Linked DNA regions of Anolis sagrei. The protein of the gene in region 4 interacts with the protein of the main gene of each other region in a biochemical or structural test. Links are inferred from orthologs where the notes say so. Each region holds a gene or a part of one and is shown on either strand. Other genes may lie near its edges. The genes, in order: PDGFRB, NHERF2, MEX3C and PTEN.

The links.
Region 1: the proteins of PTEN (region 4) and PDGFRB form a complex in vitro, tested with the Homo sapiens proteins (2 studies listed by BioGRID and IntAct, with this or other methods). The link is inferred for Anolis sagrei from reciprocal best matches to the Homo sapiens genes PTEN and PDGFRB.
Region 2: the proteins of PTEN (region 4) and NHERF2 form a complex in vitro, tested with the Homo sapiens proteins (2 studies listed by BioGRID and IntAct, with this or other methods). The link is inferred for Anolis sagrei from reciprocal best matches to the Homo sapiens genes PTEN and NHERF2.
Region 3: of the proteins of PTEN (region 4) and MEX3C, one has a biochemical effect on the other in vitro, tested with the Homo sapiens proteins (2 studies listed by BioGRID). The link is inferred for Anolis sagrei from reciprocal best matches to the Homo sapiens genes PTEN and MEX3C.

Annotation. Positions count from the first base shown.
Region 1 is NC_090022.1:85,965,630-85,972,993, forward strand, and holds the start of PDGFRB (platelet-derived growth factor receptor beta), read left to right. Parts: upstream 1-4,355; 5' UTR 4,356-4,572; intron 4,573-7,364. UniProt on the Homo sapiens protein: Tyrosine-protein kinase that acts as a cell-surface receptor for homodimeric PDGFB and PDGFD and for heterodimers formed by PDGFA and PDGFB, and plays an essential role in the regulation of embryonic development, cell proliferation, survival, differentiation, chemotaxis and migration.
Region 2 is NC_090034.1:20,931,700-20,939,496, reverse strand, and holds the start of NHERF2 (Na(+)/H(+) exchange regulatory cofactor NHE-RF2), read right to left. Parts: upstream 3,010-7,797; 5' UTR 2,782-3,009; coding exon 2,497-2,781; intron 1-2,496.
Region 3 is NC_090022.1:286,899,353-286,907,297, reverse strand, and holds the start of MEX3C (RNA-binding E3 ubiquitin-protein ligase MEX3C), read right to left. Parts: upstream 3,017-7,945; 5' UTR 3,002-3,016; coding exon 1,840-3,001; intron 1-1,839. UniProt on the Homo sapiens protein: E3 ubiquitin ligase responsible for the post-transcriptional regulation of common HLA-A allotypes. Binds to the 3' UTR of HLA-A2 mRNA, and regulates its levels by promoting mRNA decay.
Region 4 is NC_090023.1:182,601,348-182,608,218, forward strand, and holds the start of PTEN (phosphatidylinositol 3,4,5-trisphosphate 3-phosphatase and dual-specificity protein phosphatase PTEN), read left to right. Parts: upstream 1-3,866; 5' UTR 3,867-4,456; coding exon 4,457-4,535; intron 4,536-6,871. UniProt on the Homo sapiens protein: Dual-specificity protein phosphatase, dephosphorylating tyrosine-, serine- and threonine-phosphorylated proteins.

The DNA.
Region 1 (7,364 bases), on a different chromosome or scaffold from region 4:
CAACCACCCCGACAGCAGTCACTCTGGCTGTGATCGAAAACCAGCCGGCAGTGGTGGCCGTTTTTTGTTTTGCTCTATTCCCGGGTGAAGATCGAATTTCAAGCCGCGGCTCCACCCGTTGCAGGGAGGGTGATACAGGCCGCAGTTCCAGCTGTGGCAAGCGGCTCGGCCTTTCTCCCGGGCTCTTCGACCCTCTGCAGGAAGCCTGAGGCTCAGGGTCTCTCTCCCCCTCAATTTGAAGGTGGTCGGTGAGGGGGGAACCCAGGATTCCTTCGGATTTAATTTGTGGTCTGAGCAGCTCAGCGTTTCTGCTGCCGACCACCATACCGGAACCGGAAAGGTTCCACTCGTATTGCAAGAAGAAAGCAGTGAATTCCTCAGAAAGTGTCTATGTATATTGTCAGAGCTAGGATGGGATTTGCTGTATGAAGCAAAACATGGTTGCACTCAAACTAGGTAGATTTATCTGGATGCAGTAAAAAAAAAAACCTTGGAAAAACAAAACATCCACCTTTGGTTAGCATAAAGTCTTCCTCCCTGAGTGTGATCTTCCATTGCCATTGTCTTTGTTGTTTATTCATTCAGTCGCTTCCAAGTCTTTGTGACCTCCTGGACCAGAGCTCCCTGTCAGCCATTGCCACCCCCAGCTCCTTCAAGGCCAAACCAGTTACTTCTTTTTTTAAAATATTTTTTATTGATTTTTCACATTTATTACATACTATTGCATTTTGTACATCAGCCTCTTTAACATGTTGTTTTATTGTTTTGCTTTGGCATTTCCCCCCCCCCCCCTTTCTCTTTTTTTCCTTTTTATCACCACAGTGCTCCCCTCCACCCGTCTCAAGCCACCATTCTTACATTTCATCTGTCCAAAATTTCATTTCTTCTTGTGATGGTAATTTTCCTTCCTTATTTTTTAATCCATTTACCACAAATCTTCCCCATACAGCATCAAAATCGCTTTGTTTCCATGTACCTTTTTAAACCTTTAATATACATGTCAATTTATCATTTATTGCTATTTTCCATGCTTCTTTATACCACTCCTCTATTTGTATATTCATTTCTTTTTTCCAATTCCTTGCTATGAGCAGTCTTGCTATAGTTAGTAAGTTTGTTATCGCTTCTTTATCTTCCTTTTTCAATTGCTTATTGTTATATAATGATAGTAAGGCTATACTAGGACTTTTATCTATTTTCATATTCATTATAGTTTCTATTTCTCTAAATACTTTCTCCCAAAAATTATTTACATATTTACATTGCCACCACATGTGTATATATGTTCCTGGTTCTTGACACCCTCTCCAACAATTTATTGAGTTATTTTTATTCATATATGCTATTCTTACCGGTGTCAAGTACCACTTCCATATTAACTTGTAATAATTTTCTTTAACTCGTATCGATAATTTTTTAAAATGTCTTTGTCCCCATAACTGTTGCCACTCTGTTTCACTTATTTTCATCCCTAAATCCTCTTCCCAAATCTCAAGGGTACACTTTTTTATTTTTTCATCCTTCATTTCAATTAGTATCTTATAAATTTTGCTAATTATACCTCTCAAGTTTTCATGTTCTTCTACAGCCCTTCCAAACCAGTTACTTCAAGGATATCAACCATCCATCTTGCTCTTGGTTGGTCCCTCTTCCTTTTTCCTTTCATTTCCCCCAGCATCGTTATCTTCCATTGTCATTACTCAAACCAAAGGGAGGCACTTCTTCCAGAGAAATCTTTGTCTCCCATGTGGGCAACAAAGTTCCTCATTTGTTTTTTGAAATCAGTTCTATACGTCCCCAGGTTTGATAAATAAGCTGCTTACCTTAATAATATCTCAAACATGGAGTAAAATGTCTAAAAGATCACAAAAGGGATCCCTGAAAAAACTTTAAAGCAGTTCATACATTCCCTCAAGCAGTAATACTTCCTTCATCTGTAATACAAAATAAAGGACTTTGTGACCTTCCCTCCCCCCCTCCCTCAAAATGTGACACTTAGATTCCAAATCCAGGGGGCAGCAAAGGTGTCACAGCTATGGTTTTGTTGTGGATTCCACTGAGATTTGTCAAATGCAAACACAATAAATGCATATCATATTGAAGCGAAGTTGTGGTACTGGTTTTCATTTTAGAAGTTTTCTTTAACTTTTCAAATAGGGCAGTACCGTGGGATCTTAATATAAGCCGAGGTTTGCTTCCAGGGCCCATGTGGATTTCCAAACTGATGGATAACCCAGTCCCATTATATATAATGGCATAGTAAAAAAAAAAGTGTTCCTTATATAAAATGGTAAAATGAAGGTTGGCTTTGGGTTTTCTTTTAAATTTCAAGCTGTGGGTGGCTGACTCAGTGGGTAATGAGGGTCAACTGTTCACCATACCTGTTCCAGGCATAACAAAGCTCAGCCCTCCAGGTGTTTTGGACTTCAAGTCCCACAATTCCTAAGAGCTGGTATACTGGCCGGGATTTCTGGGAGTTGACATCCAAAACACCTGGATGGTTGAAGTTTGCCCATGCCAATTTAGAACAAGTTCTTTAGGACTGGTTAGATTCAAGATCACTGTGTGTCAAACACAAGGCTCCTGGGTCAAATCCAGGCTGCAGAGTCATTTTATGTGGCCTGTAAGGCATTCAATGCCAGGGCAACACTGTTACATGTATAGTCTTGAGATTACAACCAACCCTTTGAAGGCGGCCTTATGGCTGATGTGGCCCTTGGTGAAAATGGGTTAGACGCCCCTGCTCTAGTTACATCTAGACTACAACTCCCACCCAGCCTAGCCAATGATGAAAGGTGATGGGAGTTGCAGTCAAAAGAAATTCAAGGGAGCCAATGCTGCCCATTGCTCCATATAAACGCTCAAGTGGAAGAGGGGCCTGGCCTCCTCCTTGGGGTTTTGCTTTGCACTTCTTCTGCAGAACTAAGATTTCCTTTGGAGGGGATTCAGCCCGCGAGTGGCCTGTTATGTTCCTTGGGCCTCGCAGCTGGGCTGGAGACAGAGCCTGCTCACGCCCTCCTCCTGCCGAAGGGAAACGGGCAAGGCCGAGGCGCAACGCACACCCCCGTCCCACTCGGGCCTGTCCACCCTGCCATTGTTCCCAAAAGAAAGGCGCTGGTAAACAGCGGCTCCGCCCAGCAGACGAAGCTCCTCGGAGTCAGCCAGTCACCCTCCTCCTCCTCCTCCTCCTCCTCCTCCCTGGCGATAAGGCCTCCAGTGGCAGGACCCCCAGCCGCCCTCCTGCTTTGCCCCTTGGCGTTTCCCCGGGTGTCAAGGAGGGGGCCGCGGGGCTTTGGATCCGCGGCGTGGATGGAAGGCCCCGGCCTCCTTTCTTTAATAAAAACATGAGTCAGCGCCTGGCGTGGGCAGCGGATTCTCGGCACATCCCCTCATATCCTGGGAAAGGGGAGAAGGCAGGCAGGCAGATTGGCTGGCAGGGAGGAGGGGAAAGGAGAAAGAAAGCAAGAGGGGAAAGCAGGCGCCTTCTCACACACACACACGGGGGGGAGGGGGGGCAGCCGCCCCGAGGGGAAACGTCTTGGCCAAACTTTGGGTTCCTCTTGTATTTGTTTGGCTGAGTCTGAAGGAAGGAAGGAAGGAAGGAAGGAAGGAAGGAAGGGAGAGAGGGGAAAGAGGGAAGGAAGGGGAAGGAACGGAGTAAAAAGGAGGGAAGGGAAGGAAGGAAAGGAGGGGTAGGAAGAAAGGAAAGAAGGAAGGAAGGAAAAAGGGAAAGAAAGGGAAGGGAGGGGAAGAAAGGAAGGGAGGGAGGGGAAGGGAAGAAAGGGAGGGAGGGGAAGTAAAGAAGTAAGGAAGGAAGGAAGGAAAAAGGGAAGGAAGGGGAAGGGAGGGAGGGAGGGGAAGGATGGGGCAGGAAGGGAAGGAAGGAAGGAAGGAAGGAAGGAAGGAAGGAAGGAAGGAAGGAAGGAGGAAGGAAGGAAGGAGCTGGGTTTTTCAAGGGAGCTCTCCTTCATCCCCGCCCCCCGCCCCCAAGTCTGGGTGTTTGGGGCTTCCTCAGAACTTCCCCCAATGGAAACCAACAAAGGGCCAAGAGGCCAGCTTTCTTTTCTCTGTCCCCAAATTGTCCAAACAAATGTTGGAGCCGAGCAGGGTTTCAAAAGAGAAGCCGCTCTCCATCCGTGCGCTCGGGGCGCCGTGGCAGGCGAGGGAAGGGCTGCTGCTGCTGCTCCTGCTGCCGCTGAGCCCAAAGATGCGGAGCGCGTGCTCGGAGGGGGCGCGAGAAGGCCGGGCTGACTGCCTCGGGAGGCAGCGGGAGACCCCTTCCTGGCTTCCTCCCCTCCTTGCCTGCCTCCCCGCCCCCTTTGGCCCTCCGCCCCGCCTCCCGCCTCCCTCCCCCCCCCCTCTCTGGGCCGGGAGCAGGAGGCAAGCGCCCGGCTGGCTCCCTCCTCCTCCTCCTCCTGAGTTTGGAAAGGGCTGCCCAGCTGAGCTGAAGTCCAGGCTGGTGGGGCTTGCCTCCGGAGACACTTCCGAGGGAGCCGGGCGAAGGAGCCTCGCGGAAGCCCAGGGCGCCCTGTGGGGCCAAGCGGTGCCCCCTCCCTAGTGTGGGAGAGCCAGGTAAGCCCCCTCCGGTCCCCTTTGCTTTTCCAGCCGGAGAGCCAGAGCTGCAAATGGAAACTCTTTTGAACAAATCCAGATGTGGAGAGCGCGAGCCCGCAGCGCCCTTCCTTTTCCAGGGCAGCTTCCAAGAGGCGAAACCTGGCCACTTTCCTTTGCCTGCACGCCTTTGGACCTTCCTTCGGGCTTGTTTGGGGGGCTTTGGCTCCCTCGCGCCCCTTTCCTAAAGGCGCCGCATGGTGAAGGGGCTACAAGAGCTTTGGCTGGGTCTGGGGCCGGTTCTGAAGGGACTTGCCCAAGCTCTCTTGATGTTATAGCCGAATAGAGCTGGACTGGGGCTTCCTCTCCCTGCCTTGCCACCCTTGCTTCTGAAATGGCCCTCCAAGAAGCCAGGGGAGCGTTGATACCAAGGGATGGTCCCGAGCATCCTCTAGGCTCCGGAAAAGATCAGGAGGAGGAGGCTGGGCAGGCAGCCTGTGGCTTCTGGCAAGGGCTGGAGAGGAAGAGCCTGGCATCTCCCTCTAGAGACCATGGGCATCATAACCCAGCACCTCTAGGGGGTGAGGGAGGGCTGTTTTTGACCGATTATTGAACAGGTAACACTCATCATCCTGGTATGGGAGAACAGCTTTCTAAAGCACAAAACTTCAGAGCTACTAAAGAAACCCCATCTTCATCAGAAAGGCTACTTTCACACAGTCACAATGGTTGGGTTGCTGTGAGTTTTCCAGGCTGTATGACCATGTTCCAGGAGCATTCTCTCCTGACGTTTCACCCACATCTATGGCAGGCATCCTCAGAAGTTGTGATGTCTGTTCGAAACTAGGCAATTGGGGTTTAGATATCTGTGGGATGTCCAGGATGGGAGAAAGAACTCTTGTCTGTTTGAGGCAAGTGTGAGTGCTGCAATTGGCCATCTTGATTAGCATTCAATAGCCTTGCAGGTTCAATGCTTGGGTGGTTGCTGCCTGGGGGAATCCTTTGTTGGGAGGTGTTAGCTGCCCCTTATAGATTCATGTCCAGAATTCCTCTGTTTTCTGAGTGGTGTTCTTTATTTACTGTCCTGATGTTAGAGTTTTTTAAAAATACTAGTAGCCAGATTTTGTTCATTTTCATGGTTTTTAATCACACAATTTCCAACAGACAAGAGTTCTTTCTCCCACCCTGAATGTTCCACAGATATATAAACCCCAATTTCTTAGTTTCCAAAAGACCTCACAACCTCTGAGCATAGATGTGGGTGAAACATCAGGAGACAATGCTTCTGGAACATGGCCATCCAGACTGGAAAACTCACAGCAATCCAGTGATTCCAGCCATGAAAACCTTCGACAATACATTGAACAGGGGTTGTTCAGTCTTATCCATCAATGCTGCTGGTCACATAATATACATTGGAAATGCAGGAAGCTACTCAATACTACAGTTGCACTACAGTTGGCTATCTGTATCCATGGATTCTTTATCCTCAGATTCCATCTTGAATAGCTTGAAAATATTTTTAAAATTTCAAAAGCAAACCTTGGTTTACCATTTTATATAAGGGACACCATTGTACCATGCCACTGTATATCATGGGACATGAGCATCCATGGATTTTGGTACCCAAATGGAGTTCTGGAAGCAATCCCCAGCAGATACCAAGGACTCACTGTATTTGTCTGCCTAAGTAGCTGTCCAGAGTCTGAGGCTCAGGTTTTTCAAACTACCTGCAGCCTGATCCTCCTTTCTTCTTTCTATTCTTTTAGGGGAGTGGGGTGAGCTCCTGTCTGTCAGCCCCAGCTTGTCATGTGGGCACATGAGAGAAGCCTCCCACAGGATGGTAAAACACACATTAATGTTTCTCACAGCATGAAAGCTATATCCATTGTACAATAAGAGACATTGGCTACTGTTGCCATACTTTGTGTCTCTTTTTCCAGACCCAAACTACCAGAGGAAGTACTGCTGTAACAAAGTGGTTAAGAAAAAAAAAAAAAGCTATCTGCCAGGAACCTTCAGTTTGATTCTCTACTCAACTGTCATCTCACTGGACAGTTTCGCCTTTTATGCCAGGTCCACACTGTCATATTGCAACAGCAATATTGCCTCAGTTTACTATGGTAGTTATTGTTTACTTAGGTTGCTATGGTGATCATTGAGCTAAACTGCTAAAGCATGTTATATGCATTAAGAACCTAAAGCACTGATGAGCTCTCGGCATCCTCCATGTCATTCTTGAGGATGTTGTTGCCCTTGACTCCTGTGCACTTAGAATCATAGAGCTGGAAGAGACCTTGTGGCCCATCCAGTCCAACCCCCTGCCAAGAAGTAGGAAAATCTTATTCAAAGTACCCCTGACAGATAGCCATCAAGCCTCCGTTTAAAATAAGGAGCCTCCACCACACTCTGGGGCAAGGAGTTCCGTGGCTGAATAGCTCTCCAATTAGGAAGCTCTTCCTAATGTTCAGGTGGAATCTTCTTTCCTGTAATTTGAAGACATTGTTCCACGTACTAGTCTCCAGGGCAGCAGAAAACAAGCCTCCCCATGACGTCCCCTCACATGTTTATACATGGCCATCACGTTTTCTCTCGGCCTTCTCTTCTGCAGGCTTAACATGCCCAGCTCTTTAAGCCACTCCTCATAGGGCTTGTTCTCCAGACCCTTGATTATTTTAGTCGCCCTCCTCTGGACACATTCCAGCTTGTCAACATCTCCCTTTAATTGCAGTGCCCAGAATTGGACACATTATTCCAGGTGTGGTCTGACCAAGGCACAATAGAGGGGCAACATGACTTCCCTGGATCTAGAC
Region 2 (7,797 bases), on a different chromosome or scaffold from region 4:
TTTAGAGGCCCCTTCCATTTCTAGGACCCTATGATTCAACTGCCCTGTTTCTCCACAAATGTCCATGAAGCTAAATGGCCATCTGTGGGGAGGGCTTGGATGCTGACAGCCTTCCTGTTTAATAGAATGGGGTTGGACTGGATGGCCTTACAGGCCCCTTCCAGCTCTAGGACCTTATGATTCTATTGCTCAATGTCTCGATATTTCTTTTTCCTTGCTAAAAAATGATGGTGAATGGTCTCTAGCTGCAGGAGAGAGATTGGAACCTGCCCCATACATAGACATTTACAGACAGACAGACAGACAGACAGATAGATAGATATGGAGAAATAGGGTCATAGGATCATAGGATGCTAGAATTGGAAGGGGACTCTGAAGGCCCTCCAGTCCGACCTCCTTTGGCAGGGCAGGAAGACCCCATGTGAACCCTCCACACAAATGGCTGGTTAGTGTAATGAACATTTAGAAGACAGATAGAAAGATAGATAGATAGATAGATATACATAGATCGATCAAGAGAGAGAGAGATACAGATAGAGATACACAGATAGATAAACAGATTGATAGATACAAAGATCGATACATAGAGATACACTGATAGATACATAGATAGAAAAATAGATAGATGCACAGATTGATAGATAGATACAGAGAGATATATACACAGATACACAAAGAGATACGAGATATATAGATAGGTAGATAGATAGATTGATAGATTGATAGAGGGATCGATAGATAGATAGAGGATGGATACACAGATTTGGGCCCCATATAAAATCCAGATTATCTGCTTTGAACTGGAGACTCATATAATGCACTTCAAAGCAAATAATGTGGATTTTCTGATTTGATAATCTGGATTATATGACAGAGTAGATCCAGCCATAGAGAAAAAGAGAGATACACAGAGATAGACAAATAGAGATACAGAGAGAGAGAGAGAGAGAGAGAGAGAGATATACACAGATAGATAGATAGATAGATAGATAGAGATACACCACAAAGATAGAGATATGGAGAAGGGGCTTCCACACAGCCATATAACCCAGAATATCACGGCAGATAATCCACAATGTCTGCTTTGAACTGGGTTATCTGAGTCCTCACTGCCATATAACCCAATTCAATGTGGATTTTATACAACTGTGTAGAAGTGGCCAAAGAGAAAGAGATACACAGATAGATAGATAGATAGATAGAGAAAGAGTTAAACAGAGACAGAGAGCAAGGTACACAGACAGAGATAGATAGATAGATAGATAGATAGATAGATATAGATAGATGAAAAGAAAGAGAGAGAGTGACAGAGAGAGTGATAGACACAGAGAGAGTTACACAGAGATAGAAAGAGGGACACATATAGATAGGTAGAGAGAGAAATAGAAAGAGATAGATAGATAATAGATAGAGACACAGACAGAAAGACAGAAAGAGACAGATGATACACAGATAGATAGAGAGATACACAAATAGATAGAGAGATAGACAGATAAAAAGAGAGAGATAGAAAAGGATAGAAAGAAAGACACACAGATACAGAGAAAAATAGAAAGAGATAGATGATAGATACACAGAGATAGAAAGAGAGAGACAGACAGATAGAAAGATAGAAAGAGATAGATAGATGATACACACAGAGAGAGAGAGAGAGACAGAGAGAGAGAGATACACAGAAATAGATAGAGACACACAGATACAGAGAAAAATAGAAAGAGATAGATGATAGATAGATACAGAGAAAGATAGAAAGAGATAGAAAGAGATAGATGATAGATAGATAGATAGATAGATAGATAGACATAGAAAGAGAGACACACACATGTAGACGGAAAGATGGAAAGATTGATTGATTGATGATCGATATTGTAGACACAGAGATACACAAATAGATACAGAGAAAGATTGAAAGAGATAGGTGATAGATACATAGACAGAGGAAGATAGAGAGAGAGAGAGACAGACAGACAGACAGACAGACGAGAGAAAGATAGAAAGGGATAGATAGAAGATAGATACAGAGAGACAGAAACAGAGAGAGAGATACACAGAGAGAGAGAGAGAGATACATAGATAGATACCCCAGGCATGGGCCAACTTTGGCCCTCCAGGTGTTTTGGACTTCAACTCCCACAATTCCCAACAGCCTCAGGCCCCTTTCTTTCCCCCCTCGGCCGCTTAAGCGGAAAAGGAAAGAGCCTGTGGCTGTTAGGAATTGTAGGAGTTGAAATCCAAAACACCTGGAGGGCCGAAGTTGGCCCATGCCTGGTCCACACTGTGGAATGGTTGCAGTTTAGCGCTTGAACTGCCTCCTGGCTCAATATGATTGGGCCCTGGGAGTTGTAGTTTGCCCTCTTTGGAATGGTGGGAGTTGCAGTCCAAAACACCTGGAGGGCCGAAGTTGGCCCATGCCTGAGAAAGGCAGGCAGGCAGGGAGAGCCCCGTCTTTGCTCTTCCCCCCCCCCCCACCCCGCCCGCCCTCTCCCTCCTTCTGACCTGGTGGTGGGTCTCCTTCTCCACGTTGTGCCCGTTGACCTGGACCAGCCTGTCTCCGGCCCGCAGCCCGGCGGCCTCGGCGGGGGAGCCGGGCTCGACCTGCCGGATGAACTGCCCGCTCTTGCCCTTCTCCCCGTGGAGGTGGAAGCCGTAGCCGGAGGGGCCCTTGCGCATGGGGCAGAGGCGCGGGACGGGGGGCCCCGAGGACGAGGACGAGGAGGCGGGCGGCGAGGACGGCGGAGAGCCCGCCGAGGCCGAGGCGGCGCCGCCTTGCTCCTTGGCCATGGCCGCGGCGGGCGGGCGGGCGGGAGGAAGCGGCTGCCGGACGGAGCCAGGCTAGAGAGGGACCCGAGCCCCGGTGCGGATCATGGCCACGAAGGGGAGGGGGAGGAGGAGGAGGAGGAAGGACAACAAGGCCGCCCCGCCCCTTCCCCGCTCGCTCGCTCTCTCTCTCTCGCTCTCTCTCGCTCTCCTTGCTCCTTCCCTCCTTCCTTCATCCACCGGAACCTTCCAGAGGTTGGGAAAAAGGAAGGGGGGCTCAGAGAAAGAGGAGGGGGCGTCCCCTTTCTCTCCTCTTCCTCCTTCCTTCCGTTGTTTCTCTCTATCTTCTCTCTCTTTCTTTCTCCCTCTCAGATACTCTGGATTTTCCATCCTTCCTTTCTTTTCTGCCTCCTTTCCTTCCTTCCTTTCCTTCCTTCCATCCATCCTTCCTTTCTTTTCTACCTCCCTTCCTTCCTTCTTTTCGTTCTTTATTTTCTGCCTCTTTTCTTTCTTTCCTTGTTTCCTTCCTTTCTTTTCTACCTCCTTTCTTTCCTTCCTTCCTTTCCTTCCATCCTTCTTTTCCTTCTTTCTTTTCTGCCTCTTTTCCTTCCTTCCTTCCTTCCTTCCTTCTTTTCTTCCTTTCTTTTCTACCTCCTTTCCTTCCTTCCTTCCGTCTTTTCTTCCTTTCTTTTCTGCCTCCTTTCCTTCCTTCCACCCATCCTTCCTTTCTTTTCTACCTCCCTCCCTCCCTTTCTTTTCTACCTCCTTTCCTTCCTTCCTTTTCCTTCTTTATTTTCTACCTCTTTTCTTTCCTTCCTTCTTTTCTTCCTTTCTTTTCTACCTTCTTTCTTTCCTTCCTTCCTTCCATCTTTTCTTCCTTTCTTTTCTACCTCCCTTCCTCCCTTTCTCTCTTTCTTTACTTATTTCTATCTTCCTTCCTTCCTTTTTCTCTTCACTTATTCATATTTTCCATCCTTTTTCTCTTCACGTTTTTCTTTCTATCTTCCTTCCTTTCCCTCTTTATTTCTCTCTATCTTCCTTCCTATCTTCCTTTCTTTCTCTCTTTCTGCGCTACTTTCCATCTTCCTTCCTTTCTTCTTTTCTCTCTTTCTTCATTTCTTTCTACCTTCCTTAGAATCATAGAGTTGGAAGAGACTTCATGGGCCATCCAGTCCAACCCCCTGCCAAGAAGCCGAAAAATCACATTCAAAGCACCCCTGACAGATGGTCATCCAGCCTTTGCTTAAAAGCCTCCCAAAAAGAAGCTCTCTTCCTTCCTTTCTCTTTTTGTTTCTTTCTATCTTCATTTCTTTCTCTCTTCACTTCTCTCTATCTTCCTTCTTTTCTTTCTGTCTTCACTTATTTCTGTCTTCCATCCTTTCTGTCTTTCTTCATTTCTTCCCATCTTTCTTCCTTCTTTCTATTATCCTTTCTTCCTTTCTCTCTTTGCTTCTTTCTACCTTCCTTCCTCTTCTCCACTTCTCTTTTCCTTCCTTCCTACCCCCTTCTTTCTTTCTACACTTCTCTTACTCTGAAGCTCTTAAATTTCCTTCTTTCTAACTTTCATTCATTCTCTGTATTCTTTCTTTCTACCTTCCTTTCCACCTTTTCCCTTCCCTCCTACCCTTCTTTCTCTTGCCTCCTTCTCTCTCCCATCTCTTCCTTCCTTCACTTCTCTCTACCTTCCTTCCTTCCTATTTTCCCAAAGCTTAAAAACAAACATAACCACCTTGTGCAACCAAATGGGGATTGTAACATTCAAGCCACTTTGGGGAGGCACAAAGCGCATCTTTTGGCAGGGAAGGCAAAACTCCAACTCCCAGGATTCCATAGCACTGAACTAGGTCAGTTCAAGTGGCATCAAACTGCATTAATTCTGCAGTGTAGCTGCATATCGATACTCAAGCCCCTTTCTACCCAGCATGCAAATAATGGGTATTTCTGAGCAAGAAGTAAGCAAAGATTGGAGTTCACACTCATCTGGATGGCCTTTAGAGGCCCCTTCCAATGCTAGGGTCCCAAGATTCAAGTCCCCTGTTTCTCCATATTTCTCTTTCCTTGCACGAGTGACATTGGAACTTAGAACTGGCAGGAAACCTTGGATGTTTTCAGGGGAGCGAAGGTGTTTCAGAATCCACCCCCTTCAATCATTTTGCTGCTCTTTTGTTCGCAAATGGCAAGAACAACACATTAAAGCTTTTGAAGAAAAGTCTCCTGCCGTTCTGCACACCCTGCACAGCGGTCTCATTCCGGAGGCCTAAAGAGCGGTGTGTTCCAGGTGCTTTATTCCGCCCACAGCCTCCATTATGGAGGATTCAGGAGCTGAGTGCTTTGACCCCTTGCTGTCATACAATGCGAGAGGAGTGCTTTGAAGGAAGGATTTGTTCTCAAAGAAGCAATGCAGCGTAGGCTCCCCTTTCTTCCCATTGCCATCATACTGCCAGGCTTATGGATTTCCGGGTTTTCTTATGCAAGGAAAACTTTGACATGGTTTTTCCTATGGTATTCATTGGTGTCCTCCCATCCAAGTATCATCCAAAACTGGCCCTGCTTAGCATTCACAATCAGTTGAGATCCAGGATTTAGGCCTTTCTTTGCTAGTTCCTTCCTATGAAATGCTGCCTATAGCACTTAGATATACATTGGCGGCCTCCCATCCAAGTACCAACCAGGGCTGACCCTGCTTAGCATCTACAATTGGTTGGGATCTGGTGCCTTTAGGGGATTTAGTTAGTTCCTTACTTTGAAATATTTCCTATAGCTCTTAGATATACATTAGCGGCCTCCCATCCAAGTATCAACCAGGGCTGACCCTGCTTAGCATCCACAATTGGTTGGGATTGGGTCCCTTTAGAGGATTTAGGTAGTTCCTTCCTTTGAAATATTACCTATAACATTTAGATATACATTGGCGATCTCCCATCCAAGTACCAACCAGGGCTGACCCTGCTTAGCATCTACAATTGGTTGGGATCTGGTGCCTTTAGGGGATTTAGTTAGTTCCTTACTTTGAAATATTTCCTATAGCTCTTAGATATACATTAGCGGCCTCCCATCCAAGTATCAACCAGGGCTGACCCTGCTTAGCATCCACAATTGGTTGGGATTGGGTCCCTTTAGAGGATTTAGGTAGTTCCTTCCTTTGAAATATTACCTATAGCATTTAGATATACATTGGTGATCTCCCATCCAAGTACCAACCAGGGCTGACCCTGCTTAGCATCTACAATTGGTTGGGATCTGGTGCCTTTAGGGGATTTAGGTAGTCTTTTTTCTTGGAAATATTACCTATAGCACTTAGATATACATTGGCGATCTCCCATCCAGGAACCAACCAGGGCTGACCCTGCTTAGCATTCACAGTCAGTTGGGATCTGGTGCCTTTAGAGGATTTAGGCCTTTCTTTGCTAGTTCCTTTCTGTGAAATATTGCGTATAGCACTTAGATCTATATTGGCAGTCTCCCATCCAAATGCCATCCAGGGCTGGCCCTGCTTAGCATCCAAGCTGAGGCAGAATCTGGTGCCTTGAAGGTATTTAGACTCTTTGCAGTAAATAATAATACATTAACCAGCTTCAGCTTATGGTTTACTTTATGAATGAGAGACCTCCAATAGATCCTAATATTATTCCGCCCTTCCAAACTCAGGGCTCTCTTGATGGAGTCCATTCAGGTCTTCCTCTGGTTTTTCTGCCTTTTACTTTACAAACCAGACACAGAGACACATTAATTACTACCAAGAGGGTTGCACCGTATGGCAAGACTGTGCTGTGCGGTGATATAACTGGAATAAGAACAAGACATTGGATCTTCAATATACTGCAGAGAGCTTTCCAATGCAAGGCTGCCGAAGCCTGGCCAAAATTGATCCAATGCTGCCATCTGCTGATTCAACCATGATAAACTCCAGCAAATCTCCATTTAAAAGTTAGCCAGCCAGATAGAAGTCTGGCTGGATGGAAGTCTAAACAACTCTTAGGAAATATAGTTTGCTGCTGAAGCTAAACTTTTAAGAACTATAGTAAGACCACCCTTAACGGCAGAACCCATATCTTCAGATTCACTTACCCTTGATCATGGAGTAATTAGAATGCACAATTCTAGGCTGTTGTTGTTGCTATTGTTGTTGTTTCTATCCTGCTTTATGTCTCTAAAAAAGAGCCCCAAAGCAGCTAAAAAAGAGCCCCAAAGTGACTTCCTGTAATTTCTCCAAAACATGCTCAATTTCCTATTTGTGTAGTGGTTAAACTAGGACCACTGATAAGAGGGTCCGTGCCTGGTAAGCATATTCTAAACCGAATGGGTCAGGACAGGGAAACAACTCACCAGGATGAAGACAAGCCACAGAGGTTTAATTCAATTAGGCCAAAAGGGATGCAAGTACAAGCAAGATGCTTCAAAAAGTGCAAGCATAACACACAGAGAAAAGCAAGATATCTTATACAGTTTAACAGCTATTCAAAACTCCCACTCCCTCCTCTAATTGGTCAAAAAGGGGACTGGTAAGGATCCATACCCCGATTGGCTGGAGGCTCTACTGATGCTGCCACTTTGGTAGGGAAATGAAGGTCGGGGATAGGCCGGTGAAGGACTAATCATTTGATGTAACACCCCCCTGGGAGGATACATAATCTGTGAAGACAATACCAAGGAAATGTTAATGAGCTTTTGATTCGCTCAACTGTCCAGTTTGATAGCAGACAAAGATAAGAGCTTCCGAAAACAAAGGTGTGAGACTCCTTAAACAAAAGGTGATGATCAGGGCTTGTCTGTCAAGAAAGAGAATTAACAAACACACATACTCTTTGCTTCTGTTTCCACAGGAAACAATCTCTCAGCTTCAAGGGAATCATCTATCTAGATAGTTTTGGGTTTATCTGAGCTGGCATGGGAAGTCACCTATCTCTGCGTAAACATAAACAATTGGTCTGGTGATTGCCTGGCTTGGGAAACAGCCAGAGGGGTTTGCCCATCCTTCATGTTCTTAGGGGATTATCTTTGATAGGTTATGGAGACTTTGCTGTCTCTGGGTCACATTTT
Region 3 (7,945 bases), on a different chromosome or scaffold from region 4:
AGGTGAGTGGAAAGAAGGAAATGGACAGTTGTGTGTTGAGCTGGCTGAGCCTTGCTTCCATGAATGGAGGAGGAAAAGGTGGAGAGGAAAGGAGGAAATGGATAGTTGTATGTTGAGCTGGCTGGGCCTTGTTTCCATGAATGGAGGAGGAAGAAGCGGAGTATAAAGGAGGAAATGGACAGTTGTGTCTTGAGTGGCTGGGCCTTGCTTCCATGAATGGAGAAGGAAGAAGAGAAGTGGGAGGTAGGAAATGGACAGTGCCTTGATTTGAAAGGGAAGATGGGTCCAAGGGATGAGGGAAATGGACAGTTGTATGTTCAGCTGGCTGGGCCTTGTTTCCATGATGGAAGAGGAAGAAGAGGGGTGGAAACGACGAAATGTACAGTTGTGTGTTGAGCTGGCTGGGCCTTGCTTCCATGAATGGAGAAGGAAGAAGAGAAGTGGGAGGTAGGAAATGGACAGTTGTGGCCTTGTTTTGAAAGGGAATATGGGTCCAAGGGACAGGGAAATGGACAGTTGTGTCTTGAGCTGGCTGGGCCTTGCTTCCATGAATGGAGGAGGAGGAAGAGAAATGGAAGGGAGGAAATGGGACAGTTGTGGCCTTGTTCTCAAAGGAGAGGTGGGTCCAAGGGAGTAGGGAAATGGACAGTTGTGTCTTGAGCTGGCTGGGACTTGTTTCCATGATGGAAGGCGAGTGGAAAGGAGGAAATGGACAGGTGTTTTGAACTGGCTGGGCCTTGTTTCCATGAATGGAGGAGGGAGAAGAGGAGTGGAAGGGCGGAAATGGACAGTTGTGTTTTGAACTGGCTGGGCCTTGTTTCCATGAATGGAGGAGGAAGAAGAGAAATGGAAGGGCGGAAATGGACAGTTGTGTCTTGAACTGGCTGGGCCTTGTTTCCATGAATGGAGGAGGAAGAAGAGAAATGGAAGGGCGGAAATGGACAGTTGTGTTTTGAACTGGCTGGGCCTTGTTTCCATGATGGAAGAGGAAGAAGAGGAGTGGAAAGGAGGAAATGGACAGTTGTGTTTTGAACTGGCTGGGCCTTGTTTCCATGAATGGAGGAGGAAGAAGAGAAGTGGAAGAGTGGAAATGGACAGTTGGGGCCTTGTTCTCAAAGGGACGGTGGATCCAGCCAGTCTTGAGCTGGCTGGGCCTTGCTTCCATGGAGGAGGAAGAAGTGGAGTGGAAAGGAGGAAATTGACAGTTGTGGCCTTGTTTTCAAGGGGAAGATGGGTCCAAGAGACGAGGGAAACTGACAGTTGTGTCTTGAGCTGGCTGGGCCTTGTTTTCATGATGGAAGAGGAGTGGAAAGGAGGAAATGGACAGTTGTGTCTTGAGCTGGCTGGACCTTGTTTCCATGATAGAGAAGGAAGAAGAGGAGTGGAAGGGAGGAAATAAGACAGTTGGGTCCTTGTTTTCATAGATGGGTCCAAGGGAAATGGACAGTTGTATGTTGGGCTGGCTGGGCCTAGTTTCCATGAATGTGGGAGGAAGGGGAGTGAGAGGGAGGAAACGGACAGTTGTGTCTTGAGCTGGCTGGGCCTTGCTTCCATGAATGGAGGAGGAAGAAGAGAAATGGAAGGGAGGAAACGGACAGTTGTGGCCTTGTTTTGAAAGGGTAGATGGGTCCAAAGGAGTAGGGAAACAGACAGTTGTGTTTTGAATGGAGGAGGAAGCAGAAGAGTGGGAGTGAGGGAAAGGGAGGTTGTGGGTTGGGCTGATTGGGCCTTGTTATCCATGGGAAGGGGAAAGACACTGACTGGGCCTAGTTTCCATGAACGTTGGAGGAGGAGGTGTCTGGAAGGAAAGGCCTTCCAGCTGCCTGGCTGGCGACTCACCCTGCCGCCCCACGATCTCGGCCACATGCTCGGAGCTGGGCACGGGGACGCACTCGGTGGTGTTGACGCTCTTCCTCCGCAGCAGCGCCGCCGCCGCCGCCTCTCCGCCGTTGAGGGCCGGCCCGCCTCCGCCGCCGCCTCCTCCGGGAGCCGCCACTCCCCCTACTCCTGCTGCTCCCACTCCTGGCTGTGGCGGCGGAGGCCCGTAAGCCTGGGAGAGCATGGCGGCCACCACAGCGGGGGGCACCCCGTCCTCGCCGGGCGCGTAGAGCAGGCCTCCTCCTATTCCCCCTCCTCCTCCGCTTGTGGAGGCCGCGGGGGCCGCCTCGAAGGGCGGCGGGAGGAGCACGGCGCGGGGCAGGAGCAGCAGCGACGCCTGCCCTCCCTCTCCCTCCTCCTCGGCGTTCTCTTCCAAATCGAGGTCCAGGCCTTCAGGCGGGGGCGCGGCCTCCTCTTCCTCCTCCTCCTCGCCGTCTTCTTCGTCTTCGTCCTCCTCCTCGTCGCCGTCTTCTTCCTCAGGAAAGAGCGGTGGCGCGGAGGCCTCCCTCAGGCCCAAGCAGGCCAGGCGCTCCCTCAGGAAGAGCGCCTCCTGGGAGTACAGGCTCTGCGGCCTAGTCGTGGAGGAGGACGAGGAGGGCAGGAGGAGGACCATGTCTCCTGAGGGCGGCGGCGGCGCTTCCTCCTCCTGAGGCGAAGGCGAGGCGCTGCCGCTCGGCATGGCCGCCCAGGGCAGCTCGGCTAGGCCCCACGGAGGCGGCGGAGGAGGAGGAGGTGGCGGCGAGGAAGGCGGAGGCCGGTCAGGCCCTCGGAGGAGGCGGCGGCGGCGACGACATGGCGACGGCGGCTCCCCTCTCGGTGCTGCTCCTGCTCCTTCTTCTTCCTCCTCCTCCGCCTCCTCCTCGTCGCCGTCGCTGCTGCCGCCAGGGCCTTCCTCGCCGCCCTCAGCGCGCCTCCCTTTGTTCCATGGCAGCAGCGCCGCCCGCTCCCCCTCGCCCTCCTCCTGCTCCTCCTGTCCCTCCTCCTCCTGCTCCGGCTCTTTCTCTCCCTCTCCGGCTCCTCGGGAAGAAGAAGAAGGGGAAGAAGGCGGCGGTGGCGATGGCGGATCCAGCCCCGCCTCCTCCTCCGCCTCTTCCTCCGCCTCCTCCTCCTCGGCCGACCGCATCCACGCGCCACGCCCGCCGCCGCCTCGTTGCTTCCCTGCCTCTGCCCGCCCTCTCGCCGCGGCCAAAACCCACTCCCGAGACCCCGGCCGGGGCAGGATTGTTGGGTTGGCCCGGCGGGGATTGTGACGGGGTGGAGACAGGCCACCGCCGGGAAAGGGGGAAAGGGCACCCAGGCCTGCCCCGGAGGAGAGGAGAGGGCGGGATGAGGGCCAAAGAGAGGAGGGAGGAAAGAAAGAAAGAAAGAAAGAAGGGGAAGATATACACACACACACAAAGAGAATAGGAAGGTGGCAAGGGAAAGAGTGAGAAGGAAGGAAAGAAGGAAGGAAGGAAGGAAGGGGAGGTGAAGATTATATATATATATACATATACATATATATACACATGAGGAAGGGAGAAAAGAAGACGAAGATACACACACACACACACAAAGAGAATAGGAAGAGGGAAAGAGTAAGGAGGAAGGAAGGAAAGAAGAGAATAGGAAAGTGGCAAGGGAAAGGGTGAGGAGGAAGGAAGGAAAGAAGGGGAAGATATATATATACATATATATATATATACACACACACACACAAAGAGAATAGGAAGGTGGCAAGGGAAAGAGTGAGGAAGGAAGGAAGGAAGGAGAGAAGGGGAACATATATACACACAAAGAGAATAGGAAGAGAGAAAGGGTGGGAAGAAAGGAAAGAAGGGGAAGATACACACACAAAGAAAATAGGAAGGTGGCAAGGGAAAGGTTGAGAAGGAAGGAAGGAAAGAAGGGGAAGATATACACACACAAAGAGAATAGGAAGGTGGCAAGGGAAAGAGTGAGGAAGGAAGGAAGGAGAGAAGGGGAACATATATACACACAAAGAGAATAGGAAGGTGGCAAGGAAAAGAGTGAAGAGGAAGGAAGAAAAGAAGGGGAACATATATACACACAAAGAGAATAGGAAGGTGGCAAGGAAAAGAGTGAAGAGGAAGGAAAGAAAGAAGGGGAAGATATACACACACAAAGAGAATAGGAAGGTGGCAAGGGAAAGGGTGAAGAGGAAGGAAGGAAGGAAGGAAAGAAGGGGAACATATATACACACAAAGAGAATAGGAAGGTGGCAAGGAAAAGAGTGAAGAGGAAGGAAGGAAGGAAGGAAAGAAGGGGAACATATATACACACAAAGAGAATAGGAAGGTGGCAAGGAAAAGAGTGAAGAGGAAGGAAGGAAAGAAGGGGAAGATATACACACACAAAGAGAATAGGAAGGTGGCAAGGGAAAGAGTGAGGAAGGAAGGAAGGAGAGAAGGGGAACATATATACACACAAAGAGAATAGGAAGAGAGAAAGGGTGGGAAGAAAGGAAAGAAATATATATATATACATACACACACAAAGAATAGGAAGAGGGAAAGAGGAAGGAAGGAAGGAAAGAAGGGGAATATATATATATATATATATATATATATACACACACATACATACATACACACATATATACACATACATACATGCATACACATATATATATACATACATATACACACATACACAAAGGATAGGAAGAGGGAAAGGGAAAGGGTGAGGAGGAAGGAAAGAAAGAAGAGGAAGATACACACACACACACAAAGAGAATAGGAAGAGGGAAAGAGTAAGAAGGAAGGAAGGAAAGAAGGGGAAGAGAGATATATACACACATACACACAAAGGATAGGAAGAGGGTAAAGGTGAGGAGGAAGGAAGGAAAGAAGGGAAAGATGTATATATATATATATAGAGAGAGAGAGAGAGAGAGAGAGAGAGACACTCACACAAAGGATAGGAAGAGGGAAAGGGTGAGGAAGAAGGAAGGAAGGAAGGAAGGAAAGAAGGGGAAGGTATACATACACACACACACACAACAGAAGGCAAGGGAAAGGGTGAGAAGGAAGGAAGGGAAAGATATACACACACACACACACTAGCCGTCCCCTGCCATGCATTGCTGTGATCCAGTCTATGTATATGTATTTTCTGTGTGTATATATGCATATATATGTGTCTGTATATATGTGTGTATGTGTATATATATGCATATATGTGTGGTTTTGCACATGCGGTGTAATGTAATTTTTGTTTTTGCCTTTTAAGTCCCTTCCATTGTGTTTTTCAGTGTTTTGATGAGTGGTCACTCGTTGGCCTGAGAGGTGTAATTGTGTCCAAATTTGGTGCCAATTCATCCAGTGGTTTTTGAGTTATGTTAACCCCACAAACAAACATTGCATACATATATATATATATATATATACTAGCCACCCCCTGCCACACATTGCTGTGGCCCCGTCTGTGTTTTGTGTATGTATATATGCATATATGTGTGTGTATAAATGTGTGTTTGTTTATATATGTGGTTTTTGTGCATGCGTTGTAATGTATTTTTTGTTTTTTGGGTTTTTAAGTCCCTTCCACTGTGTTTTCTAGTGCTTTTCTGAGTGATGGTCACTTTGAAAAAACTCCTAAAATTCAACAAAAAATATTGTAGTTAAGATGGTATACAGCAGATTAATAAGGTAGATGTTCAAAACAAGGTGGAGGTGTATATAAGGTGTAATTAGTCCTCTCCATAGGCTAAAGTGCATAGATGTGTTATAAAAAGCTTTTAAAAGGAGAGCAGAGAGGGGGCAATTTTTAATGGGACCAAGAGGAGGGCCTCCTCTGCAGACCGTAGTGCTTGTGCTGGTTTGTACACGGAGATGTGGTTTTTCAGGTAATCTGGGCCCAAACAGTTTAGGGCTTTATAGGTAATGACCAGCACTTTGTATTTAGCCTGTCAGCAGACTGGCAGCCAGTGGAGTTGTCCACTACCTGTACGGTACTACAGTTAGTAATATGGCTGCCGATCCCTGAACCAGTTGAAGCTTCCAAACAGTCTTCAAAGGCAGCCCCACACAGACAGCGCTGCAGTAGTCCAGGTGGGATGTGACTAAGGCATGTGACCCCGATGGACTTCCTTCTGCGTCACAATATTGTTGCTAAACTACCAGAAAATTTGACAAATTCGATGACTATAAAATTAACAGCAGCAATGAAAACAATGGTGTGTGCTTGTAGGATGTGCCGATGAAACAATGTGATTGACAGTGTCATTGTGCTTGAGTAATAATGACATCTCTGACTGGAGTGCAGGCACACCTGAAGACTCAAAAAGTCAATCAGTATAGAGTTTTAACCTTGCAGGTATATCGACACAGTACAGGTAAGGATGAGGTTATATCTAACTTTTGTGGATTCAATTTGCTAATTTGCACCAAGTGACATACATACATACACAATGTTCTTATTCCAAACCAGGAATATTTATATGAAACTAGCTGTCCCCTGCCACGCATTGCTGTGGCCCACATGGGGGTTCTGTGTGGGAGGTTTGGCCTAATTCTATCGTTGGTGGGGTTCAGAATGCTGTGTGATTGTAGGTGAACTATAAATCCCAGCAACTACAACTCCCAATGTCAAGATTTTATTTCCTCCAAACTCCACCAGTATTCACATTTGGGCATATTGAGTCTTTGTGTAGAGTTTGTTCTAGACCCATCATTGTTTGAGTCCACAGTGATCTCTGGATATAGGTGAACTACAACTCCAAAACCAAAGGACACTGCCCACCAAACCCTTCCAGTATTTTCTGTTGGTCATGGGAGAACTGTGTGTCAAGTTTGGTTCAATTCCCTCATTGGTGGGGTTCAGAATGCTCTTTGATTATAGGTGAACTATAAATCCCAGCAACTACAACTCCCAAATGACAAAATAATTTTTCTTTTGAGTGAAGGACATACATTGGGTTGTTAGGTGTCTTGTGTCCAAATTTGGTGTCAATTCATCCAGTGGTTTTTGAGTTTGGTTAATCCCACAAACGAACATTACATTTTTATTTATATAGATAATAATTTTCTACTGAAACTTCACAAAAATTGGTGTCACGATCCCTGATGGTGTCCCAAAGAGTAGTTCATACAACCTGCTATTATTCAGAAAGCCTTGATCTCCAATGATTATTTAAATAAATGATTTTTTTTGCCTCTGACAGGCAGAGGAACCTATTCTCCTGGTCAAGAATATTCCTGGTTTGGAATAAGAGCACGGTGTATGTATGTATGTCACTTGGTGCAAATTAGCAAGTTGAATCCCCAAAAGTTACTGGCCCACATTAATTTTTTATTAACCTTGTCTGGCATATAATCTACTTGAGTACCATTTATGTTCAAGCTCTACAGACCATTATCTGTGCCCCTTTCTGACTTGCAGGAGAAATTGGTCTGTGAAAAACAAACTCACATTGTTATGGAGTAGTTTAAACCCTTCTGTGTCCCATGGGTTGCTCTCTTTGCATTCCAAGGCTGCTAATTTAAGGAATAAAGTGGTGGAAAGAAGGAATAATGTGTTGTTTACTGGGTGGCGTATTTTCATTTTGGTGTAATGTAACTTTAACGTAATGTGACAAGGCAATGTTTTAATGTTACCTATGTTGTAATATTGTTTGTCTAAGTATCCACTTGATCTTGGAAGCTAAATGCTCAGCCCTGGTTAGTACTTGGACTGGATACAAGGTACTGTAGGTTATATTTCAAGGGAAGGAACTGGCAGAGGTGCCTCTGAGTATATTCCTTTCCTGAGAAATTCCTATGAAATTTGTGTTGTTCCTATAAGTTAGCAGGCAACTTGAAAGTGCATACACCAGGGGTCCTCAAATTTTTAAAATAGGGGGCCAGTTCACTGTCCCTCATTTACTTACTACTTAGGCGATCCCTCATTGTCTGAATAAGATTGTCCTCCAAGTTCAGTGGACTGGTGATGGGTACGTACGTAGGTGACTGTGGTGCCCTATTCTTGACCTGCATGTTCTCCCACAGTGAGGGCATCAGTTTCCAGGTGAAAGGCGGTCCCGGTCAGGGTTGGCTTGACACGCCTTCCTCTTGGCACGTTTCTCTCT
Region 4 (6,871 bases):
CCCCATGCCAATCATTCCTGGATGCCAGAGGTTGTACAATCACCATGTCTTTCATCCCTGGGTGCCAAGGGTTCATTTAATCCCCATACTATGCAGTTCTGGGTGAGAAGGGCCATGGAATCCTAATGCTATGTTTTCTTACGTGCCGGGTGATGTGCAATCCCCACCCACAAGGTATCCAGGGTCATGCTTTGCATCTCTGGACACTAAGGCATTGTGCAATCCTGATAGAATCACAGGTGCCAGGGGCCATGTAATCTGCATGCTCTGTATCCCTGGGTGCCAAGGGTTGTGCAATTCCAGGACCATCCCAGGTACCAGGGTTTGTGTAAACTTCATACCACGCATCCCTGGGGGGCTAAGGGATCAACCCCTATCCCATGCAACCTTGGGTACCAAAGGGTGGTATAATCCCCATACTGTGCAGCCCTAGGTCCCAGAGTTATGTCATTTCCATGCCACCCTGGGAGCTAGGGGTGGTGCAATCTCCATAGTATTCAGCCCTAGTAGGTACCATTGGGTTGTGCAATCTTCAGGCCACCCTGGGTACCAAGGGGCGCAACAATCCTCATGCTATGTACCCTTGGGGTCATCTCTCTTTTTAAATGTTTTTTTAAATTTAGTACAAACTAGTAGAACATAACCATTTTTTCTCGTGAGGAAGTTTAGAAGATAATATAGGTGACTTAAATAGTATATATATTTTTAACAATTTAACAAAAAGTAGATTAAAAATTCTATATTTAATAGCTCTTGTCCCCTACATGTATCCATCTCTTTTCCACTATTTCCCTTATTTTCCTCTGGGAACAGTCCTGCATTTCCTTTATCATTTATTCTATTCAGACAGCACAGTGTGACAAAGACAAGGACAGACAGACTGAAGGATAGCTTTTATCCTAGACCTGTGGCTATATTGAACTCAGTGGTTTTGCACCGATGTAGCATTGAAGGCTGTGTGGAGGTGGTGTGTTGTTTTGTGGTGCGTACAGGGGAAGGCATGTCATTTTGTTGTGCAATAGCGCAATGACAAATAAAGCTAGTCTATTCTGTAATCTCCATGCCATGCCATCCTAGTTACCAAGTCTCCACAATGCGTTGTAGGTTTTTCGGGCTATATGGCCATGTTCTAGAAGCATTCTCTCCTGACGTTTCGCCTGCATCTATGGTAGGCATCCTCACAGGTTGTGGATGACATCACAACCTCTGAGGATGCTTGCTAGAAATGCAGGCGAAACGTCAGGAGAGAATGCTTCTAGAACATGGCCATATAGCCCGTAAAACCTACAACAACCCAGTGATTCTGGCCGTGAAAGCCTTCGACAATACAATCTCCACAATCCTCATGCTATGTATCCATGGGGCTGTGCAATCCCCATGATGTGCATCCTTTGAGTGCCACATCCTGGAACAACAACAACAACACTTTATTTATATATCGCTCTATCTCCCCAAGGGGACTCAGAACGGTTTCCAAGTAACATAATCAATACATACAAGAAAAAAAGGCATAAACATAAAATTAACAAAACAGTATAAGCATTAAAACCACAATAGCACATATATTTAAAATAATCATGTCTGATCAAGGCAGTTTAAAAGGCCAGGCCAGGCTAATGTGATTTAGTCTATGGCTGTACATGTCTATGGCTATACATTTCCAGGGCCTAACAGAAGAGAGTGACCTGGGTAATTGGCAGAAGAAGATATGGCCAATTTCAACAGTATCTGGGGCAGAGCAAGAACTAGTCATTCTCAAAGGTTTGTTTAAACCACCAGGTCTTCAGGCTCTTACGAAAAGAGGGGAGTGATGGGGCCTGTCTTATTTCCCCAGGAAGGGTGTTCCAGAGGTGAGGGGCCACCACCGAGAAGGCCCTCTCTCTCGTCCCCACCAACTGTGCTTGTGACGGTGGTGGGAGCGAATGGAGGGCCTCCCCCGGAAGATCTTAAAGTTTGCGCCGGCTCATATGCAATCACAAAGACCCAACAGGAAGCAGTTCTGATTCTTGGTTGTTGTAGTTTTTTCTGGCTATATGGCCATGTTCTAGAAGCATTCTCTCCTGACGTTTCGCCTGCATCTATGGCAAGCATCCTCAGAGGTTGTGAGGTATGAGAGCATGGGCAAAGATTTATTTATTTATTTATTTATTTGGGGTGCTTCTACCCCTTCTCAACCCCCTAGGGCAGTAGTTCTCAACGTGGGGTCCCCAGATGTTTTTGGCCTTCAACTCCCAGAAATCCTAACAGCTGGTAAACTGGCTGGGATTTCTGGGAGTTGTAGGCCAAAAACATCTGGGGACCCCAGGTTGAGAACCATTGCTCTAGGGGGAACTCAGGGCGGCTTACAAAAGGCACAATTCGATGCCCAACAATTCACAAAATAAATATACAAAATTACAATATAGCGTCAACAGTTATAACTAGTTAAAACAATCAAGACGGTACAATAGCAGCAATAAAATCATCTTGTGGTCAATGTTCGCCAATTCATAAATCGGTAATCCATCTAACATCGTCATTGTCCTTTCCTACTCTGGTCATCATTGTCTTTGTCCATCTGCCAGCTTACCCAAAAGCCTGGTCCCACATATAGATTTTTAGCTTCCTTCTGAAAGAGAGGAGGGATGTTGATGACCTAATCTCCCTGGGGAGTGCATTCCATAGGCGAGGGGCCACCACCGAGAAGGCCCTGTCCCTCGTCCCCACCAGTCTCACTTGTGATAATGGTAGGGCCTAGAGCAGGGCCTCCCCAGAGATTCTCTTTGCCCACTGGTGCAAGGTCTCAACCCCAGACTGGACAGCCTAACCAGGGATTGCAACCAGGACAACAAAAGCCAATGTGAAAGGGTGGCTGCTAGGCCAATGCATCAATAAGCCTTGCAAGGAGGCTCTTGGGGACCAAAGGCACCTCCTGCTGCAAAAAAAAAGGGCCATTGCAAGGGGTGTACAATAGAAAAGGCTGTGATACTGATGCAAGCCCTCCCTTGGAAAGAAGTGGGGCAGAAGCAGCCTCAGCTCAGGAGGCGGAGGAGCGGGAAGTGCCCCCTCCCTTTCCTCTGCTTTACACCCGTCACGTGACTCCGGGGGGAATTAGCCCGTCATTGGGATGAGGCAATCGCCTGTGGGATATCCTTCCGCCGCTTCCGAACGTGTCCCTCTCTCTCTCTCTACGCCTGCGCTCCTCTTCTTCTTTTCCAGTCTAGGAGCAATCGCCCTTCTCGGCTTGAATCTGCTTTTGATGAAGGAAGGAAGAACGGAAAGAAAGGAACGGAAAGAAAGGAAGGAAAAGTCGGAGGAAGAGATTTGGAGGCGGTGATGTGGCGGCGGACTCCTTTTTCCTCCAGCGGCGGAGGGAGCTCACCAAGAGCGGAGTGATGCGTTCCCGCTGACTTTTTTTCCCCCTCCTCCTCCCCCTCCCCTCTCTCTTTCGGCGCTGTTCCTTTTTCTCCCTCCCCCTCCCCTCCTTTTCTCCCCCCCTCCCTTTGCTTCCTTTTTCCCTCTCGCTCTGCCTCTCTTTCGGAAGCTGCAGCCATGATGGTTGGCTGGCGCAAGCGAGGCTGCAAGTGAGCCTTGAAGGAGAAGAAAGTCAGGAAAAGGAAGAAAGGAAAAGAAGAAGAAGAAAAAAAAGGGGGGTGTCAGCGATTGAAGGAACAGCCGCTCTCTTGGAGACAAGGAGGGAGGGGGGAGGGAGGAGGGAGGAGGAGGAGGAGAGAAAAAAATCGGCTCGGCTCTTCTACGCGTGCGCGGCAGAAGGCAAAGAAGAAGGAAGGAAAGGGAAGGAAAGGAAGGCGACCCAACCGCCGCGCAGAGGAATGAGGCGAGGAGGCCGCCTTCCCCTCAGGACCTGAGAGGGCTATTTTATTGATTTTTTAATTCTGTTTCTCGGGCCCGCCCGCCTCCTTTTTCGTCCTTTTTTGTTTTTGCGTTTCCCGCTTTCGGAAAGCAAGGGAAGGAGCAACCTGCCTGCCCGCCCGCTCGGGCGGGTGGGGAAAAGCGGGCGAAGCTGCTGCCGTCGCCGGTCCTCCTGGAGCCCCGCCGCCGCTCGAGCCCGCGGGAGAGAGGAGGAGGAGGGAGCCTCGGCGGCGGCGGCGGCGGCTCCTCCTCAGTCTCCTCGGCCTCCTCCTCGCCTCAGGAAGCGACGCTCTCGCCGCCGCTGGGCCAGGCCGCGTCCGGGCCTTCGCCTGAAGAAGAAGAAGGAGGAGGAGGAGAAGCAGCAGCAGCCGCCTTACCGTCATCGTCTCCACCTTCTTCTTCGAGCCGCTCCGTGAGCAGCAGCAGCAGTCGCCGCCGCCGCCGTCCTCCTCACCGTTGGCGGGCCGAAGCGGGAGGGGGCCAGCCTCCCCCTCCTCCGCCTCCTCTGCCTCTTCCTCCTCCGCCGAGGCTCCGCGCCCTCTGCGCCCTGCAGCCGCCGCCGTGCTTGTCCGCCCTGTTCCTCAGCGGCTCCCGGCTCCCAGACATGACCGCCATCATCAAAGAGATCGTCAGCAGGAACAAAAGGAGATACCAGGAGGATGGCTTCGATCTAGACCTGACCTGTATCCCTCCCGTGGGTCGCCTTCGCTTGGATTGCGCCTTCGCCTCCTTTAGGGCCCTTCCACACAGCTGCCTTGAATTGGATTGCAGGGCAGTGTGGGCTCAGAGAATCCGGTTCAGATCCCCCTTCCATACAGCTGAGCAAAATCCCACATTTTCTGCTTTGAGATGGGATATATGGAAATGTGGATTCAGCTAACACAGGGCCCTTCCACACAGCCCTATATCCCAGAACATCAAGGCAGAAAATCCCACATTTTCTGCATTGAACTGAAATATATGGCTGTGTGGACTCAGCCCAGCTCAAAGCAGATATTGTGGGATTTTCTGCCTTGATATTCTGGAATATAGGGCTGTGTGGAAGAGCTCTGAGTATACTCAGATAATTTGGGATTTTCTGCCTTTATATTCAGGGATACAGAGCTGTGTGGAAGGGCCCTCAGTTAGAGTTATGGCAGTGTGGACTTGGACAACCCAGGGCCCTTCCACACAGCCCTATATCCCAGAACATCAAGGCAGAAAATCCCACATTATCTGAGTGTGGACTCAGGGCTCTTCCACACAGCTGAATAAAATCCTACATTTTCTGCTTTGAACTGGAATATATGGCTGTGTGGACTCAGCCCAGTTCAAAGCAGATATTGTGGGATTTTCTGCCTTGATATTCGGGGATATAGAGCTGTGTGGAAGGGCCCTGGATTAGGGTTATGACAGTGTGAACTCGGACAACCCAGATCCCTTCCACACAGCCCTATATCCCAGAACATCAAGGCAGAAAATCCCACATTATCTGAGTGGACTCAGGGCCCTTCCACACAACTGAATAAAATCCCACATTTTCTGCATTGAACTGGAATATATGGCTGTGTGGAGTCAGATTGGCCAGTTCAAAGCAGATATTGTGGGATTTTCTGCCTTGATATTCTGGAATATAGGACTGTGTGGAAGAACTGAGTACACTCAGTTATTTGGGATTTTCTGCCTTGATATTCTGGAATATAGGGCTGCGTGGAAGAGCTCTGAGTACACTCACATAATTTGGGATTTTCTGCCTTGATATTCGGGGATATAGAGCTGTGTGGAAGTGCCCTGGGTTAGGCTTATGGCAGTGTGGACTCCGACAACCCAGGGCCCTTCCACACAGCCCTATATCCCAGAACATCAAGGCAGAAAATCCCACATTATCTGAGTGTGGACTCGGGGCCATTCCACAGAGCTGAATAAAATCCCACATTTTCTTCATTGAACTGGAATATATTGCTGTGTGGACTCCGATAGCCCAGTTCAAAGCAGATATTGTGAGATTTTCTGCCTTGATATTCTGGAATATAGGACTGTGGAAGAACTCTGCGTACACTCTGATAATGTGGGATTTTCTGCCTTGATATTCTGGAATATAGAGCTGTGTGAAAGGGGCCTGGGTTAGGGTTATGGCAGTGTGGACTCATACAACCCAGGGCCCTTCCACACAGCCCTATATCCCAGAATATCAAGGCAGAAAATCCCACAATATCTGAGTGTAGACTCAGGGTCCTTCCGCACAGCTGTCTTGAATTGGATTATATGGCAGTGTGGGCTCAGATAACCCAGTTCAAAGCAGATATCGTGGAATTTCCTGCCTTGATATTTGGGGATATAGAGCTGTGTGGATGGGCCCTGGGTTAGGGTTATGGCAGTGTGGACTCAGATAACCCAGGGTCCTTCCACACAGCCCTATATCTCAGAATATCTGAGTGTGGACTCAGGCCTTTCCACACAGCTGAATAAAATCCCACATTACCTGCTATGAACTGGATTATATGGCAGTGTGGTCTCGAGAATCCAGTTCAGAGCAGATATTGTGGGCCCCTTCCATACAGCTGGACAAAATCCCACATTTTCTGCTTTGAGGTGGGATATATGGAAATGTGGTCTCAGCTAACCCAGGGGCCTTCCACACAGTCCTGTATCCCAGAACATCAAGGCAGAAAATCCCACATTATCTCAGTGTGGACTCGGGACCTTTCCACACAGCTGAATAAAATCCCATATTTTCTGCATTGAAATGGAATATATGGCTGTGTTGACTCAGATAACCCAGTTCAAAGCTGATATTGTGGGACTTTCTGCCTTGATATTCTGGGATATAGGGCTGTGTGGAAAGGCTCCCAGAATATCAAGACAGAATAATCCACAGTATTGGCTTTGATAATGTGGGATTTTATTCAGCTCTGTGGAAGGGCCCTGGATTATTTGAGTCCACACTGCCATATAATTGCAGTTCAATATGGATTTTATACAGTTGTGTGGAAGGGGCCCTTGTGAAACTTCACCTTCCTGAGGGAGGAGGGGCTGTTGG